Linked DNA regions of Drosophila melanogaster. The protein of the gene in region 1 purifies or fractionates together with the protein of each later gene. This does not show direct contact. Each region holds a gene or a part of one and is shown in the gene's direction. Other genes may lie near its edges.

Region 1 (5,136 bases):
GCCAATGAAACTGGGCAACCGCAGTGACTTCGATCGCGACACCTGGCGTGTCTACGAGTTCATCTGCCGGCACTTCATGGGCACGGTGTCGAGGGATCTTAAGTACCGCGTGACGACGGCAAAGCTGAGTGTTGGCATGGAGACATTCAGTTGCACGGCCAGTGTGCTGATCGATGCCGGTTTCACCAAGGTGATGACGTGGTCGGCCTTCGGCAAGGACGAACCCCAGCCGCCGTTCGTTCAGGGCACTCAGGTGGCCATCAACGATGTGCGACTTATCGAAAGCCAGACAGGACCGCCGGATTATCTCACCGAATCGGAGCTAATCACACTGATGGAGGAGCACGGCATCGGGACGGATGCCTCCATACCGGTGCACATCAACAACATCTGCCAGCGCAACTATGTGCACATTGAGAACGGTCGCAAGCTGATGCCAACGACGCTGGGCATTGTGCTGGTCCACGGCTATCAGAAGATCGATCCGGAACTGGTGCTGCCCACCATGCGAACGGAGGTGGAGCGCATGCTGACACTGATTGCCCAGGGATCGGCTAACTTTCAGGATGTTCTGCGACACGCCATCAAGATTTTCAAGCTGAAGTTTATGTACTTTGTGAAGAACATCGACAGCATGGACGCACTGTTTGAGGTATCCTTCTCGCCGCTGGCCGAGTCGGGCAAGGCGCACTCGCGCTGCGGCAAGTGTAGGCGCTACATGAAGTACATACAGGTGGGTCAATCTGCCTGTCAGTCACCGTTCAACTTGTAATCTCCCTGCTAACGTTTAATTGCAGACCAAACCGGCGAGATTGCACTGCTCTCATTGCGATGAGACATACGCCCTGCCCATTGGCAATGTGAAGGTGTATCGCGAGTTCAAGTGCCCGCTGGACGACTTTGATCTGCTGGCTTTCTCCACTGGCGTGAAGGGGCGTTCGTATCCGTTCTGCCCGTACTGTTACAACCATCCGCCGTTCAGCGACATGCCCCACTTGGGGGGCTGCAACACCTGCACGAACGCCAACTGCCCGCACTCGCTGAACACGCTGGGCATCTCCAGCTGCGTGGAGTGCCCCACCGGGGTCCTGGTGCTCGATTGTACGCTTGCGCCAACCTGGAAGCTGGGCTGCAATCGCTGCGACGTGATCATCAACTGCTTCAAGGGAGCCACCAAGATCACGGTGGAAGGTACGTTGGCGTTGCTACCCTCACACAACCCCCCTTATGTCATTTGTGAGACGATTATACAAACATTTGATTATATTTTGCAGAGGCCAAGTGCCAGGAGTGTGGCGCCCAGCAGGTGAATGTGGTCTACAAGTCGGACAAGAGCAAGTTCAAGGACGGAAGCGAGGAGAAGAGCGGCTGCATCTTCTGCTCCGCAGACTTCTCGCACTTGGTCGAGAAGCATCGGGCGGTGGCATCCAGACCAGTTCGCAGTGGCGGCGGCTTCCGTGGCGGCAAGGCAGGTCGAGGCGGTGGCGGAATGGGCGGGGCGGCTTTTGGCTCCGGAGGAGCGGTTACGGCTGGCGGTGGACCTAATGCTGGGGGCGGGGTGCGTGGCAGTCGAGTGGCCAAGGATAAGATGGGACAACTGGCGTCGTATTTCGTTTGAGGACACTGAATTGCATTTAGAAGAACAATAACTAAACAAGAAAAAAAAAGCCTAATAAAAACGAAATTGTATAAATAAAATTTCCATTTCATTCTGTCTTTAAGGGGCTTTGGACATAAATAAATATTAGGGTAGCATTTTTTTAAATTCCATAATTGTAAAACATTTCTTATATTTGTATCCATAAATACATTAATTTATTTCTTAATATAAAGCAACTTAATGAAATCTCGTGTAACTTGGAACTATTTTATGGTAAGAAGCTACCAATTCCAAAAAATCTTCAATTTTTTATAGGAAAAACTTTATTTTGTTTAGTTTTAAGAGTTTTTAAAGTATAAATAAAAAAAATGTTCATATGTAGGGGTAAACTATACAGAAATAAATAAAAATTGAGTAAATACATTTGAATTTCTCTGTACCCTTACATTCACTGGTCGGAAATTGGCTTAATTTAGGTCACAAAGGCGGACCCCCATGTATTTTCTTGAGAAAGGGTTTTTGTGTTATTTTAAAGGATTGCTTTTAATGACTTTGTACAATTTATTTTTTTAATATTTATGCACGGGGTACATTTGAATACATGTACACTGGAATGTTAGTATGAGAAAGTCATGACAATTATTTGTATAATTGTGTATATTATCTTATATCTTTAAAGTTTGTACTCAAAAAGTTAATAACGTTTACTATTAGTTTTCATCAGCCCTTTCCATTCTAGGAACTTTCAAGATGCATTAAGTCGCATACATATGTAAATATCTGTGTACGCAGACTGGCTTATTTGCGAGTGTGTTGGTGGGGAAATTGGAAATTGTCTAAAGGCTGTTGACCAAAATCACTTTAAGCGGCAGAGAGCGAAAACAAAGTAACCTACCGTCCGAGTGATCGAGAGAGCAGGCGGCGAATTTCCAGTCAGCTTGCCTATAAATACCAGAGCGGGGCTGCGAAACGAATCATAAGCTGTGTGAAAGTCGTAGAGAGCGGACGTCCGAGCAAGTGAAAAAACCTAGTTTTTGAATATTTCAAAAAGTGCCGACCAAAAGTAAAGAAATAAACTAACTTTTGTGTGCGAAACAATAAAAAAAGGTGAGTTTAGTTTGGCAAGTGCTTCATAGTTTTTCATAGTTGCATTGAAAATGGCAAAGCAGCAAACGAAAAACGGTACTTTCCATGCTTCTATCTGTGTGTGTGTGTGTGTGTGTGTGTGTGTGCGTGTGTGTGTGTATGCCCAGTTCCAGAGGATCTTATTTTTTTTTAACGAAGTTAGAGATTAGTCACCACAACTAAAGCAACTGGAGGGCGGAAGCACTCTGTCTGACTACAACATCCCCTTCACTTGGTCCTGCGTCTGCGTGGTGGCATGCAGATCTTCGTTAAGACCCTCACTGGCAAGACCATCACCTTGGAGGTCGAGCCATCCGATACCATCGAAAACGTCAAAGCCAAGATACAGGACAAGGAGGAAAATCCCCCAGAGCATCAGCGTTTGATCTTCGGCGGAAAGCACCTGGAGAACGGACGCACTCTGTCCGACTACAACATCCAGAAGGAGTCGACCATTTACTTGGTCCTGCGTCTGCGGGGTGGCATGCAAATCTTCGTGAAGACCCTCACTGGCAAGACCATCACCTTGGAGGTCGAGCCATCCGATACCATCGAAAACGTCAAAGCCAAGATACAGGACAAGGAGGAAAACCCCCCAGAGCATCAGCGTTTGATCTTCGGCGGAAAGCACCTGGAGAACGGACGCACTCTGTCCGACTACAACATCCAGAAGGAGTCGACCATTTACTTGGTCCTGCGTCTGCGTGGTGGCATGCAGATCTTTGTGAAGACCCTCACTGGCAAGACCATCACCTTGGAGGTCGAGCCATCCGATAGCATTGAAAACGTTAAGGCCAGGATCCACGACAAGGAGGGAATCCCCCCAGATCAACAGCGTTTGATCTTCGCCGGAAAGCAGTTGGAGGACGGACGCACTCTGTCCGATTACAACATCCAGAAGGAATCGACCCTTCACTTGGTCCTGCGTCTGCGTGGTGGCATGCAGATCTTTGTGAAGACCCTCACTGGCAAGACCATCACCTTGGAGGTTGAGCCATCCGATACCATCAAACACGTCAAAGCCAGGATCCACGACAAGGATGGAATCCCCCCAGATCATCAGCGTTTGATTTTCGCCGGAAAGCAGCTGGAGGACGGACGTACTCTGTCCGACTACAACATCCAGAAGGAGTCGACCCTTCACAGTCACTTTAAGTGGTAGAGAGCGAAAACAAATTAACCCACCGTGAGGGAGAGAGCAGGCGGCGAATTTCCAGTCAACTTATACCTATACCTATAAATACCAGCGCGCTGCTGTAAAACGAATCGTAAGCTGTGAAAAAGTCGTAGAGAGCGGACGTCCGAGCAAGTGAAGAAAGCAAGTTTTTGAATATTTCAAAAAGTGCAGACCAAATGTAAAGAAATAAATTAGCTTTTCTGTGCGAAACAGGAAAAAAATTCCGGTTAGTTTGGCAAGTGTTTCATAGTTTTTTTTAGTTGCTTTTAAAATGCCGAAGCAACAAGTGCAGTAAGCGAAAAAGGGTGCATTCCATGCATCTGTGTGTTTTTTTTATATACGGCAGGAAAATGAAATTCAAAGATACCGTCCACCGTCCGTAGATGGCATGCACGATTCATAACTCTCAGCTAGAGAATTATGCCTACGTACTAAACAAAAATCTCTGATCTCTCTCCTGTCCTTGTCAAGCTCACCGGCACTGCCAGTCAAAGTATTTTATCGGTGAGCAGGTCATGGTCAGATCCGACGAGCGATGCGGAGATCGTGATGGGGACTTTGTTCCCGCCCTTGAGGAGGCACGCTAATGAAGTCCATCGTCTTCTGGCTTGTGGCAGTCATAGAAGCTGTAGGGGCCAAAGTCTCCACATCTACAGCTGCACTGCAGTCGCTAGTTTTCGGCTGCTTGCTCACCCCTCGCTCCGTGAATTGGAGTTCGGACTCCTCTTGTAGGGGATCTCGATAGGCTGTAGCTCCTCCTGAACGGGTCGTTGGGATCGGGCACTGCCTCCCCTGTTCTGTCCATCTGATCTAATGGGCGGACTACGGCTTGTTGGTCACCAACGTTAGAAAGGGATCCATTGTGGGCCACGGATTTCTCCCTGGCGTTTTACCGGTGGAGGTTTATGCCGCCTCTAATCGGACACCAGAGCCTTTGCTTAGGCATCAGAACGGCGAGAGGATGATTAGTTGTCTGTCCGCGACCTTTAAGCCTTTTCCCTTTCTAAGAGGTTGTTCCGCTCCGAAAGAATCAAAACATGTTTAAATTCTTAATTCAAATTTTAATTTTAATTCAAATTAATTAATCCAAATTCGAATTTGAGCATGAACACACTTGTCGTGTGTGTGTGTGTGTGTGTGTATGCCCAGTTCCAGGGGATTTTATTATTATTTTTTTTTGACTAAGTTAGAGATTAGTCACCAAACCTAAATTTACTGTAAATTAACGAAAAAA
Region 2 (6,173 bases), 9.5 Mb from region 1:
GCTCCCTTGCACCCACATAACATTATATTTGGTGTTAATGCGCCACACGCGCAGACCCTTGATGATGCGCCACCGGTTTCCCATGTGTCCCGGCATCTTTGTGCCTGGCCAGACGCGACCCTTCTCGCCACCACCGCCAATGTTGCCGGCACGTCGATGAGTTTTCGTCACACCGTGCGATGCTGGCATGCCCTTAAATCCGTGTCGCTTGACAACACCTTGGAAGCCATGGTCAACTCTGCAAAATATAAGTAGAGTACGTATAACCAGCGCTTAGACGTATGTACTTACGTTTTGCCGCGAACATCGACGAAGTCACCAACGCGAAAGTGGTTGACATTTAGTGGAGTGCCTGGCGCCAGTTGGGCTTCTGGAGAGACGATGAATCGGGCCAGGTTCTTCTTGGGGAGCACACCCGAGTTGCGGAATATGCCCGCGTACTCTTTGGTCAACAGAGCTGGGTTCGTGGTCTCGGAGCCAACGAGAATGCAGCCGCGCTTGTGCAGGTTGGCTACCGTGGGAACTTGGGCAGGTAAATACTCTTCCGGGGGAATGTATTTAATGACATGATTGTCGACGATTTGCAGCAGCGTGGTGCGAATCCGCTCGCCATTCTTTAGCCACAGCGGGTACTGGCCAATTTTGCGCGCTATAACGCCGCATCTTCGCAAATTCGGAGTCCACACAGCCTCATTGGCGGTTGGGCCCGCGGTCTTGACCAAACTATCCTTAATAACTGCCGGAACGCCAAAGTTATTGGTGCCCACTTCGTTGACGAACTGCTTGTTCTCCGCCGTCATCAAATCGTTGTATTTCTGTTGCAATAAAACGCAAATGAGTAGTTTGTTTATAGATAAAAAGATATATGTCACATACTGTAATTTCCTTGCGCAGAAACCATTGGGGATTCCGCAGTCGAGGTCTGCTCAAATGGCCCTTATCGCGCACCTGCGTAACCAAAACACTGCTATTTCCACTGAGCCTGAATGGAGAAACCAGAATTTACTAAATGGCCACTATAGCAACGATAAGTGTACCCACCGGAGACCCAGTAATTGATTAATAACGCTCCGCATCATACTTATATAATATAATTTAACAAAGCATAAAAGCGAGCCGGTGCAGAATAACCAAAAGAGCTGTCAAAACATCGGCCACAGTATCGATATCAGCGATATTTGGGGCACGGCTGCTTGACCATCGATTATTTCTGGTCAATTTCGATTCCACATGCTCTTATAATTGGAGTAGTGGAAACATGATGTGATTATTATCGCAACTATGTAAATCAGAAATTGTAGTTTTTAATAAATTTGTAACATTTGTAATACATTTTGGTAATGAATTCACCCCTCTCTATGTAACGACGCGCAATGTTGTTCATTGACAAAATAGATGATTCACAATTCGTGCTAAGCTATGCATGCTGCAAACTTTAGACGCTTAATAAACATTTGATATCTATCAAAGAAGTTTTAGCGCTTTCATTTTGTTTCCCAATCATTTCTGTCAATTAAAGTTAGAGAATGGGAGAGAGTAATGCGTTGAAATGCGAACAAGTAAGTAACAGGTGGTTGTTGGAACGCATGAGAAGTAGATGGCACGGCAAAAGCTTATGGACACTCCTGCAAATGTTAGTGTCGCGGTGGAGACAGGGTATTTGATGCGCTTAACAGCACAGTTAATATACTTAACAGCACGTTCAGATAACTTGTGTATTTTTATCAGACCTACATTAATTTTTTTTTCTAATCGGAGATTTAACAGTCAAAGTAATATATATATATTGTGGTGCATTTAGAATACAATGAAACGAAATATGCAATTGATGCTGAATAATATCGCGTAATTGATGCGAAACGCGCGACACGACACGGCCAATTTGCGTTCTTCGATCAGAGCAACATTAGATATTGGGAAATTACTCATACACTAATGTTTACTCTGTGAGTAATTTTAACACGGGCACAAATGTGTGTGCGGTTGCGGTACGCGAAAAACTACCGACGGTTGCCTTTCGTAACTAAGAGCATTTATTTTTGTATAAGTGAATTCCAATGGGCTAAAGTCATATGAAAAGCGTCTAAACATGAGCCCCTCGACGATTCGTTTATAAGGATTTGATTTATTTATTTATTTGTGATTCCATTGCATTGCGTATGTATGTGTGCTGGTGTGTATCTACGTATATGTATGCTGATATATATATATTATTTAGTTTTTTAAACAACTACATGCATGCGAAATAAACAAAGGATTTGGTGCTGCAGTTGAATTTCATCCCAGGGGTATGTCCGATATCGAAATTATGGTGTTAGTGGCCTCGCAACCTGTTTTAAGATCGAATGTTTACATATGTACATCGAAATTTAACAAGTTTATGCAAAAAAAAAGAGGAAACGATAAAAACTCTCGCCCACCCCTCCCTTCAACACATTCTTATGCACATAGTGTTGTAAAGTGCGCATATGAGTTATTTATCAGTAAGCGAACATAAACTAAAGTTATTTTTAAATAACAAATGTACACAACATACAAATACAGGCGGTGCACATCTGTATGTATGCAAGTATGCAAGTATGCCTGTACATACCTAGCTTCATGCAACAATTTTAAGCGGGCTTAACTGTAAAAAAAAACCGATAAGATAATTTAAAACGGAATGTTTAACTGTTTTTTAAGCCCCAAAAATCCACCATAAGTTCGTATTCAACAGGTATTAAGGTATATCTAGCGAAAATACATAGCAACAGCTGTGTTTTTACTCGTTGCGCATTCCATCAGTGGAAACTCGCCAACAAAATTTCCCATGATCTTGAATTGCACTATCTGAACTCGGCTTTAAATAAATACATATATATTGCATTATTTCAATGCCTAACATTTTCATATATATAACTATCTCTTAGGCTTATAAAGTTATCAAGGATTTTTAAAGTTGTTGTAGTCAAAGAAAGTGAAAACAGGTGATTAACTGGTTATCAGTAATCAATGGTCCTATGAGCCGGATAAAAGTACTTTGCGAATTTGAATGGAAAGACTATTATTGCGTAAAGGGGATATGTTTTGTGAATTGTTTTAGTTAGGGTGTATATACATTTATCTGCGTCATTGTTTCCTTGATAACTTGGGCCTGGAATCCACTAAAATTTGTTTAAAATATATATTGATTAGGCGATTATTTCTGAGAATTCTCCGTGCCTGCGCCTATCTATCTTAAGATCTGATAAGAAAAACATATACAACAATGACAATGTAGTAAACAGGCGTCTGTAAGCAACTTTATGATTTAAATACACCCATAAATAAATGGCATTCAAAGTGTATTTTCCAAGTGGCTGACTTTCGCAATTTTTATTGAACATGATTTTCAATTGCAAAGTCGGTTTTGCATTTATGTAATGGCGACGACTTATCAGCCTGTGGCTGGTTTCACTGTAATAGGAAAGTGTTCGCAAGTGTATTTAAACTTGTTTTTGGTAAACGCTTGTACATATGTATATGTTTGCAAAAGATAAGAAATTTACTAGAGTGTGGGTCTTGCTCGGTACACAGACGATAAGAAATTAACAATAGTCCGTTCTTGATGAAAGTTAGTCGTTGACTGCCCACTTTTTATCGTGGCACTGTGTTTCAATTTATCTTTTTATATAATCTCATCAGTTTGCTTTTCGGATCTGCTCTTATTTTCGGAATTTCACAGTTTAAAGTTTATCGAATGTGGGGAACCGACCTTAAATCAAAATCACAATTGCCAGAGCTCTGCGCGATCAAAACGAATAAATATAATACATAATGGACTTCACTTGCTAATTATTGGTCAATTTAGGCTATAAATTCATATTCCGGTGATTGCGATGTACTCAAAATATCGTTTTTAAACCACACAAAGCAATGGGTTCTCTAAAAGAGAGAATGCAAGTTCTTTAATACAGAGTTGATAAGAATCGAGTGAATCATGTTTCTTCATGCTAGAACAAAATATTTTCTCAAAGTAACTTAGCGTATTCTTGGCCGCTCAGCCGCAATGCAAGTTTTGCGCAATTAACTCTACTTGTTGTTTAAAAAGATATCTTATATCAGTTGTCTTTGCAGGAAGGATTACCAATATGCATAATCCACCAACTGATAAACAGTATTTGCATTGAATAGTAAATATATAAAAGGAGCGCAATTCCAGCTGTAAATGTTGCAAACACCGCAGTTTTCTCGAAACTCAACCGACAAATCTACACAATATATCACAATATATCAGTCACTGCGAATGCACTTAGCTCTGTGGAAAGCAACATCGAAAGAACCTAAATAAAACTGAAACTTAAACTGAAAATCACAGCAAATATTCAAATTCAATATTATTAAAAGCAAACGCAAACATCATGGGCGGCGGCAAAAATGTACGCCGCGGCTTGGAGCCTCTGGAGTTCGAAGAATGCATCGTCGACAGTCCGGACTTTCGCGAAAATTTAAATCGACATGAAAAGGAACTGGACCACACTAGTCATCAAATAAAACGAATTATCAAAGAGGTCAAAGATCTTATGAGTGCGGCAAAGAGTAAGTAGTACAATCCATTTACCGGAGGGCGTAAAACGTGTGTCTGTTTATTAAAGTATACAAAAAATGATTTATAAATAATGCCTATTCACATATGCTTCCACATATCTTCTTGTCCTTCTGATTCCCGATCCCTGGTATGCTTGAAACACGTATTGAATTCGGGTCCAATCGACAGGCGTTTTAGGTACTCTTGATATTCGTTTAGCGTTATGAAACGCATATTTGGACACAGCTGTGTCACCTTCCGATGGTAGTCACAGGTATGATCCTGTACCCAATGGCGTGGCTCCATTAGCTCCACCTCCGTGAACTCCACATGCGTATCGAGTACACTCGGATTGTTGCGCACGGTTAAGAGCAAACTGCTGTTAAACACCGAGTCCCGCAGAAGTGTGATGACATCGGGCGACTTGCTAAACTCCTTTAGAATGTCACTAAATTCGGGCATCTTATGGAGTTCCTCACTCCTGAACTTCTTTAGCATGAGGGGCGGCAGGAAGCTGAAGCGAATTTGACTTAAAACCCTATAGGTGCTCGAACGTCGCTGCGGCCAAAGATGCGCTAGCCACATTAAGGCGGAATATAAAAGCTGTGTATTCATATATCATGGTTATACTTCTACTATACTATAGATATAGAACTTGCCTCCATTTCCGAATTGATTGCCAGAAAGTTGGACTTGAGTATGTAGCAAATTTGTGTTTCGCTGAGGCACAGGAATTCCCGAGTCGATGCGACTGGCAAAATTGAAATGGAAATGCGCCCAGTCAGCTTATCGAATACATCCCACAAGTTGGTGGCGCCTCGTAATTCGAACAATAGGCGAAACGCAGAGATCTCAAAGAATGTTATCCTATCCAGGTTCGCCCAACAGGCCTCGAGCAGCTCGGGAATGTCCAGGAAGTATGCGGCCCTCAAAATTTCGCCCATATCGCACGGATTAACCTCGCCATCACTGGAAATCATCCATAGATATGCGTCGCTGAATCCTTTCGGGCTCAAATCATTCGACTTAAAGACAATATGGTCAACATCTTCCTGCAATATTTTCAGCATTCGCCTTGAGTAAATACTTAGTATGATATTGTGGCAAAGGAAGACGCGATCGTGAACAGTGACTATTATATCCGCACACTCGTAGTTCTGGATGTAAGGCACCAGGTATTCCTCTGGCGGCACTTCGTGGTCTATTTCGACAATCTCGGACTCCGTTGGATCTTCCTTCAGTGTTCGTATACTATTTGCAAAGTTCAGAAATGTCTGTTCCAAGTAGCAAAGCCTTTCGCGTGTCCTAACATTGATGAAATGGACATATGGACATTGGGAATTTATTAGCTTACTTAGGTTGCAAAGGTTCGGGGTCAGGAACAGGATCAGGATCAGGATCAGGATCAGGATCAGGATCAGCATCAGCATCAGGGTTTCTTTTACTCGCCAAAAAGGGCCTCGTTTTATACATGTTTTTTTTTTTTCGTATATCTGTGCTGTATTTATGTGGTGGGAAGTGAGGCAAAGACGTCTAGTTCTAATGAGATTTATGTTATGTTTGATGTTTTCCCTTTTGCTTTCATATTTATTTCAATGGTTTGTCAAATTGCATTTAAATACTTTTT
Region 3 (6,233 bases), on another chromosome or scaffold:
TAAATCTATAAACTCAATTATTCTTTTTCCAGACAATCCCATAATGTGTGACGTGGGATTGAACGAGCTGTGTCGATTGATGGCCGTTCAGGAGGCACGAATTCGTGGTCGATCCCAGTGCTTTGAGAATGACCAGGAGGTGTGCACCGTGCTCCCGATGCTATACAATGTGAACCTGCCCATAATGGTGACCAATCTAAAGTTGACGGGCCGCGAGGTTCCAAAGCCGATGGTTCGGGTGATCGTACCATCGCTGATCAAGGCCAATAATGAGCTATTACCGCCACTTATTGCCACTCTGGGTAATCCAGTGCTCATTAGCACCGATTTGGTCAATCCGGTGATATCGCCACTACCACCACCACTTCTGCTGGCCACCACAACGCCGCCACCGCCTCTGCCACTTCCTGTGGAATCGGAAGTTGAGAAGAATGAGTCTACCACTGCGAATCCAGTGCCAACCAATTACACACAGGAGACCACGACAACCACAAGTACCACAACGACGACAACAACAACGGAGACCAGTAGTCAGGTGGCTCCCATCGAGATTATTACGACTACAGCACCCACGACGACTACCACCAGCACCACAACACCGAAACCCAATGAAACGCTGCCCGTGATTGTGGAACTCCAGGATCCCAATCCACCGGACACTACAGTCAATCAAACTGCCCTCGTTCCGCCAGTGGTTCTAGATCCCCTGCAGCAGGATCTGGAAAGGGAGAGGGAACGCGAAAGGGAGCGAGAACTAGAGCGGGATCTGGACCACGAGGCGGTGGCCAAGACCGAGTACGAGACGGTCGAGTACATCCCCAATCTGGTGCAGCCTCCAGTGGGCAGTGATGCACTGACGCCGCCTCCGAGCAAGGCGAATGCGCTGGAGGAGGACTCCGAGTCGGTGCACTCTAACTCAGTGCACGCGGAGTATCCCCACGCGGCGCAGAGCCTCCAGATTCCCGAGGAACCGCCGGAGGAGTGAGTCCTCCGCCTGGGGGTTTGGCTCCTCGGGGGGAATCCCCCGAAAATAACCACATTATTTTACTGTAAATCGCAGAGGGATGGAGGCGGTGGAATCGATGGAGAGCGGACGGAGCAGCATGCAAACGGCGGAAGGAGCGAGTTTCGGATTTGTATGCCTTAAGTTAACTTAGTTCTTATGTTTTATTTAAGCCATCGCTAAATCGAACAGTTTGTCAGACCAAACGCTTTTTTGTTGAGTTTTTTCGTCGATTTTATGCAAAATTTGATACGATTACTGGGTTTTTGATGTAATCCTGCATTCGGGACAAACGTACGAGGACAGTCTTATGATTTAAGCTTATTTGTTGGGGGCTCAATTTCGCGTATGTGTGCTTTGGCGTTGGCAAGCGGAACTCTTTCGGTTTTCAATTTCACGGAATTTTAAACTATTTGCAGAAAACAATCCAAATATATAAATTATGTATTTTAAAATCTCTTAAATATCTAGAGCTGATACATTGATACATTGAAACACATCGAAATGGGTGATATATTTTCCGCTGGTTTAGTATGATCATAAAAAATAAATTGAAACAAACCGTGAAATTAAAAAACGAAAGCAAGACCGATAGAAACAGGAAGTTGGCGATATCGAATATGCAACTGCATATGCACATTATATATATTTAATAACTGTATACACGTATGAACGTTGAACATCTACAAGTAGGTACTTAGAGTTAAACGACAGCAACAACAAATCGCATCGAGCTAATGTTAATAACGAAAAGCACTCACTCACATACAAACACACAAAACCACACACACACAAACACAGCCGTAGTCGTGCACATGCACAAACTGAAAAAAATACGAATAAAAAAAAACGAGAAAATATATTGTTATCAGTTCGTTAACAAAATGAGAAAATAGATTTTAGCGTGTAATTATACGAAAATGAAAATGGTATTCTAAATAAAATCATAAATAAAAGTCGAGTTTGTTGTTCTCTTCTTAAAGAACTTGGCAATGTTCTTGCCGTTGTTTTTCATAAAATGGTTGAAACGGAAGTGCAAAGTTCCTTTTTTGTTTTTGAAAATGTTCTGTTGGCGCCATTTTGGGTAACCGCTAACGGTAGAGGTGGGAACTAAGATATTCGCAGCTCACAAAAACAAGAATCTAAAAACCAAATGATTATCTAATTTAACAATAAGAAAATATATTTAGAAGAACACAGAATTTTAAATCTTGATGTTGAAAATATCCATGCACAACTGTAAATACTTTAGAGAAGTAAAGTTATCACTTTCACGCAAGCAAATTCACCACAGTTTGGTAAGTTTGAGAATGCAAGTGATATCGATAGGTGATTTGTCACAGCTATCGATATCATCGAGTATCATGTTTAAAAATCGGGATGACAACTCAAAAATATCGGCGTTACATTTAAATTACTATGTAAACAACTTGTAGATAATTTTAACATTCTACTAATTAAAAGCTTAAATATTTATTGTACATATAGAAAAATAAAAAGAACGACGGTAGTTGATGGTCAAAGATAAATTGTTATTCCTTTATAAATTTTACATACCAAAAGCAAATGAATATAATTAAATAACAGGAATAATTTTGCTCTTCTGTGAGCTAGTATTTTTAAAATACTTATACTCCAAACTGATAAGAACCGATAGGTTCAGGAATAAATCGATATCGCGATATTTCGAGTGCCCATCAATTCTGGTCCACCACTAGTGCAAAGCGAAAAGCAGAGAAAGAAATAATAATTCGTGTTTTGTGCGCAGAGTGCAAAGGGTAAATAAGTTGCAATATCATCGCAATCGCAGTCGAGAGCCCTATAAACCCGATAGAGTGCCAGGATTTTTGGATATCCATATCGTGCGCGCAGCTATACTATTTTCCCCCTTTGTTGACGTCGCATTGTCGTCATCGTCATCTTGTGACCGTGTCTATTCGAGTCCGAAAAAAGAAAGAAAAGAAAGTCGTAAAATATAGAAAAGAAAACTAGTTGGGGAGGAGGAGTCGCACACACAGACACACACATACACAGCCGAGCGGAGCCCCCACACGCACACACACACAACCAAAGGCGAACTGCAGTGAAGCAACAAAACCAACAATAACAGAAACATTGCAGGTGAGCGAAAGAGTAAGTGGGAGGGGGCCACAAACATATTTCTGTCTCTCTTTCTCTTTGGGGCTTCTTTTTCTTAAATAATAATTTTCCGTAATTATAGATCCCCCTTGTCTAAACGTAATTCCCCGCTAACCGTTTTTTACAACATATGCTTATTGATAGCGCTTCTTTGGCTTTTGTTTTTTGTTGTTTTTTTTTTTATTTGATAACTGCCGTTAGCCGGTCGAGTGATTAGTCATAGTGGATCCAGGGTTGCCAGGGGCGTGGGTGGAAACGGGTTTATGTTTGCGAGGGGGGGCGGATGAGTAATGAATGAAGTTTCGCACATTCGTGTGCCCCCCAATCAGTGCGTCCGTGTGCGTATACGTGTGTGTGTAGGTGCGAGTAGTTCTAGTGTCACAAATGAAATCTAATCGCATTTCTGGCTCGTTATCATACGCACACAGCCACAGAAAGCACCCATGTAGCCATTAATATATTATATACAAATGATACCTAATATACGCCCGCATTTACAACAGATGCAGCAACATTGGAAAATGCAACAGTGCCAGCGGTATGGAGGAGGTGATGGGGGACGCCGAGGCGGATCGAGGAGGGGCCCGGCGATCGTGTGGCACAGTGGGCAGCATCAGCGAGCGAGCAGTGACCTTCGTCACCAGCGGCTAGCCCTTTCCACCTGTTTGAGGTGCTAATAGAAAAACATCTCAAGATAACCATAAACCAAAAGCAAACATTTCATTTGCGAAAGTAACGTAGATACCAGATAAGCAGATGTTTAACACAGACATTTTATTATTATTATGGTCTTTCGTTGTACAATCTTCAATGTTTGTTTGCAGTATTCTCTCCTTAAGTCGAAACAACCAAAATTATAATTTCCAATCCTCAGATCTTTGCGAATTCAATTCAATTTTTAAATATGTATTAAATTTTTAAGTTTTGTTAATCCCAAGATTGTAAGAGAATTGAGTTCAATCTGCAGGGTTTAAATAGAAAAGCTTTCTCGTTGTTTAATGATGAGATAAAAAGTATGTATTTAGGAATCATAGATTGTGGGGCTACTGACGGGCTTTCATCAATATTTTTCATCTTAGCGGAAACATGCTAAACGTCTGACAATAGTGCACGTCAAATAGCCTCGTGAATGTGGAATATTTTGCTCGCATTTAATTGCGTTTGGATATAACGAGAGTGATCGCAGACTGATCAGTACCACCGCGCATATCAATCGGCGAACAACGCACACGCTGCAGCTCCCCATTTCGAGTTTAGTTCGGTGTTTGGAGCGTTTGGGGAGCTTTTTCCGTCTCTTAGCTATACGAGTGTATACGTTCATTGAACCGCTGGCTGGCGTCAAGGCTCGCAGCCTTTGGAACAAAGTGATTCGCAACTCGTTGGGCATTCTGTTTGTTTTGATACCAACACAAGCGCAGCTGTATATTTTTTTGGCAATAAAACGAAGCGGTGACGTTTTGCCGAAAGTCAAGTGCACAGAAACACAAAGAAAGCTTCGTCATTGCCTCTGTCTGGCATTCAATTTGCTCAAGTTCAGACCACCACCACAACAAAAACAGACCGTCACCATCACCACCACCCACTTTTACTTGACTCTTGCACTTCATTTGCGTAGTGTTTTTTGTTTCGCCCGTCTTATACTGCGCGACATTTAATTAAATTATTTCGCCTTCCATTGGCCAAATGAAAACAAACAAACGAGGCAGACAAACGGCCCTTTTTCGCAGTGGATCGTTACTACGATCATCGGTCAATGAATTTCACTGCCCATTTACGAGTATGAGTATTCCCCCCTCATACCAATATTAACTCGATTTCTCGCATAGCTCGAATGCCTGCGGAACGGGTTTATCTGTGAGATACAGTTTTGAGGCGGGTTCTCGATGGAGTTTCCCCACAGCCGGCTCTTCTCGATATGTGTCAAGTGCGTTGTTTACACGAAAAATAAACAAAAATAAATGCAGACCCGTCGGACCGCATAAAGAACGGTGGTTATATCAGAAACTACAGCGATTCTTCAGCTACAAACTGGTTAATAAACGCCACTTAACTTAGCAGTATTTCTGAGATTTTGCTGGGGCCAGCTGGGGTTAATTGCTATCTTAACTGCCGAAAAGACAAAAATATCTTAACAAGCCTCATTATGTTATATGTTGTTATAAAAGTATTGCCCTTATTAATTGTTTTTAAAGTGATATCTAATCAAATTACTATATCTCGAAACAAGAAAGTGGTATATATTTGGATTTCTTAGTCTTATCGATAGCCTAATAAAATTTGGTATTCGCTTATCAAGAATATGTTTGCCTCTTTTATTTATTGCTCGATTATATTATTTTCAATAAATTTATCAACAATATAAAGTGTTTATAGTGAATATAGTAACACACGTACTTTGCGTTTTATCTACTTTTTTCCAAACAAAGCCGTAAAACGCGTGGTCTTACTTTGTACACATGCACGTAATTATCTTATGCTTAATCAGCTATAAATATATATGTACATATATTTGAAATTCTTAATGGTCGAGAACCACATTACTCTAAATTCTTCTCAAAGAACTTTCTTCGCTTTTGCAACAAAATCGATAACAATTTGATTAGCATTCTTCGCATTTAAAAATAGATGGAACCGCGCAAAGAGGGCGGTGGAAAATCAATTCATTTGCTATGAATTCTCGCTGTGCTTGTGGGTCGCCATTTAATGCATAATGCAGTTTGGTCTGAAAATTTGCATATCCAGACATAGTCGTAGACGTTTGTCTGTCCACTTTCTGATTCTTGAGCCCAGGCTATTTGCACTTTTGCGGCTTCTTGTTTCGGTCTGCCATGGGTTAAGTTCAAGCAGAGTCTCTATGAGTTAAATGAGATTGATTGGTAATACTCAAAGAGTTTGCTGCAAAAATAATATTCTTGTAAATATAAAATTCTATATATGGTTAATGGTTAAAATTCAATTGATTACAAGCACTTTCGCTGGCAAATAAATGTGACATTAATTGCTCATTTTGCTCAGTTTGTAAAAAATTATATCTTCATTTAGTTTTGTGCTGTGTATTCCCTAGTCGACTTTGAAATGTCAAGGGAAATAC

Evidence for each region.
Region 2: the proteins of CG11700 (region 1) and Graf purify together in Drosophila melanogaster (affinity purification with western blotting, with the first as the bait; one study listed by BioGRID). This does not show direct contact.
Region 3: the proteins of CG11700 (region 1) and lqf purify together in Drosophila melanogaster (affinity purification with western blotting, with the first as the bait; one study listed by BioGRID). This does not show direct contact.

Annotation. Positions count from the first base shown.
Region 1 is NC_004354.4:6,281,029-6,286,164, reverse strand, and holds CG11700 (uncharacterized protein), read left to right. Parts: upstream 1-2,589; 5' UTR 2,590-2,707; intron 2,708-2,884; 5' UTR 2,885-2,981; coding exon 2,982-3,887; 3' UTR 3,888-4,128; downstream 4,129-5,136. Other genes in the region: Top3beta (topoisomerase 3beta), read left to right, coding at 1-733, 798-1,191, 1,275-1,618.
Region 2 is NC_004354.4:15,756,240-15,762,412, reverse strand, and holds the start of Graf (GTPase regulator associated with FAK), read left to right. Parts: upstream 1-1,763; 5' UTR 1,764-2,173; intron 2,174-2,218; exon of another isoform or gene 2,219-2,288; intron 2,289-4,095; 5' UTR 4,096-4,379; coding exon 4,380-4,557; intron 4,558-4,645; coding exon of another isoform or gene 4,646-5,104; intron 5,105-5,187; coding exon of another isoform or gene 5,188-6,019; exon of another isoform or gene 6,020-6,095; intron 6,096-6,173. Other genes in the region: mRpL3 (mitochondrial ribosomal protein L3), read right to left, coding at 1-238, 292-815, 877-982, 1,042-1,079; CG8260 (uncharacterized protein), read right to left, coding at 4,646-5,104, 5,188-5,976. UniProt on the Drosophila melanogaster protein: GTPase-activating protein for Rho family proteins. Essential component of the CLIC (clathrin-independent carrier)/GEEC (GPI-anchored protein-enriched early endocytic compartment) endocytic pathway.
Region 3 is NT_037436.4:7,526,063-7,532,295, forward strand, and holds the start of lqf (liquid facets), read left to right. Parts: upstream 1-2,717; 5' UTR 2,718-3,124; exon of another isoform or gene 3,125-3,136; intron 3,137-6,233. Other genes in the region: ltl (larval translucida), read left to right, coding at 33-985.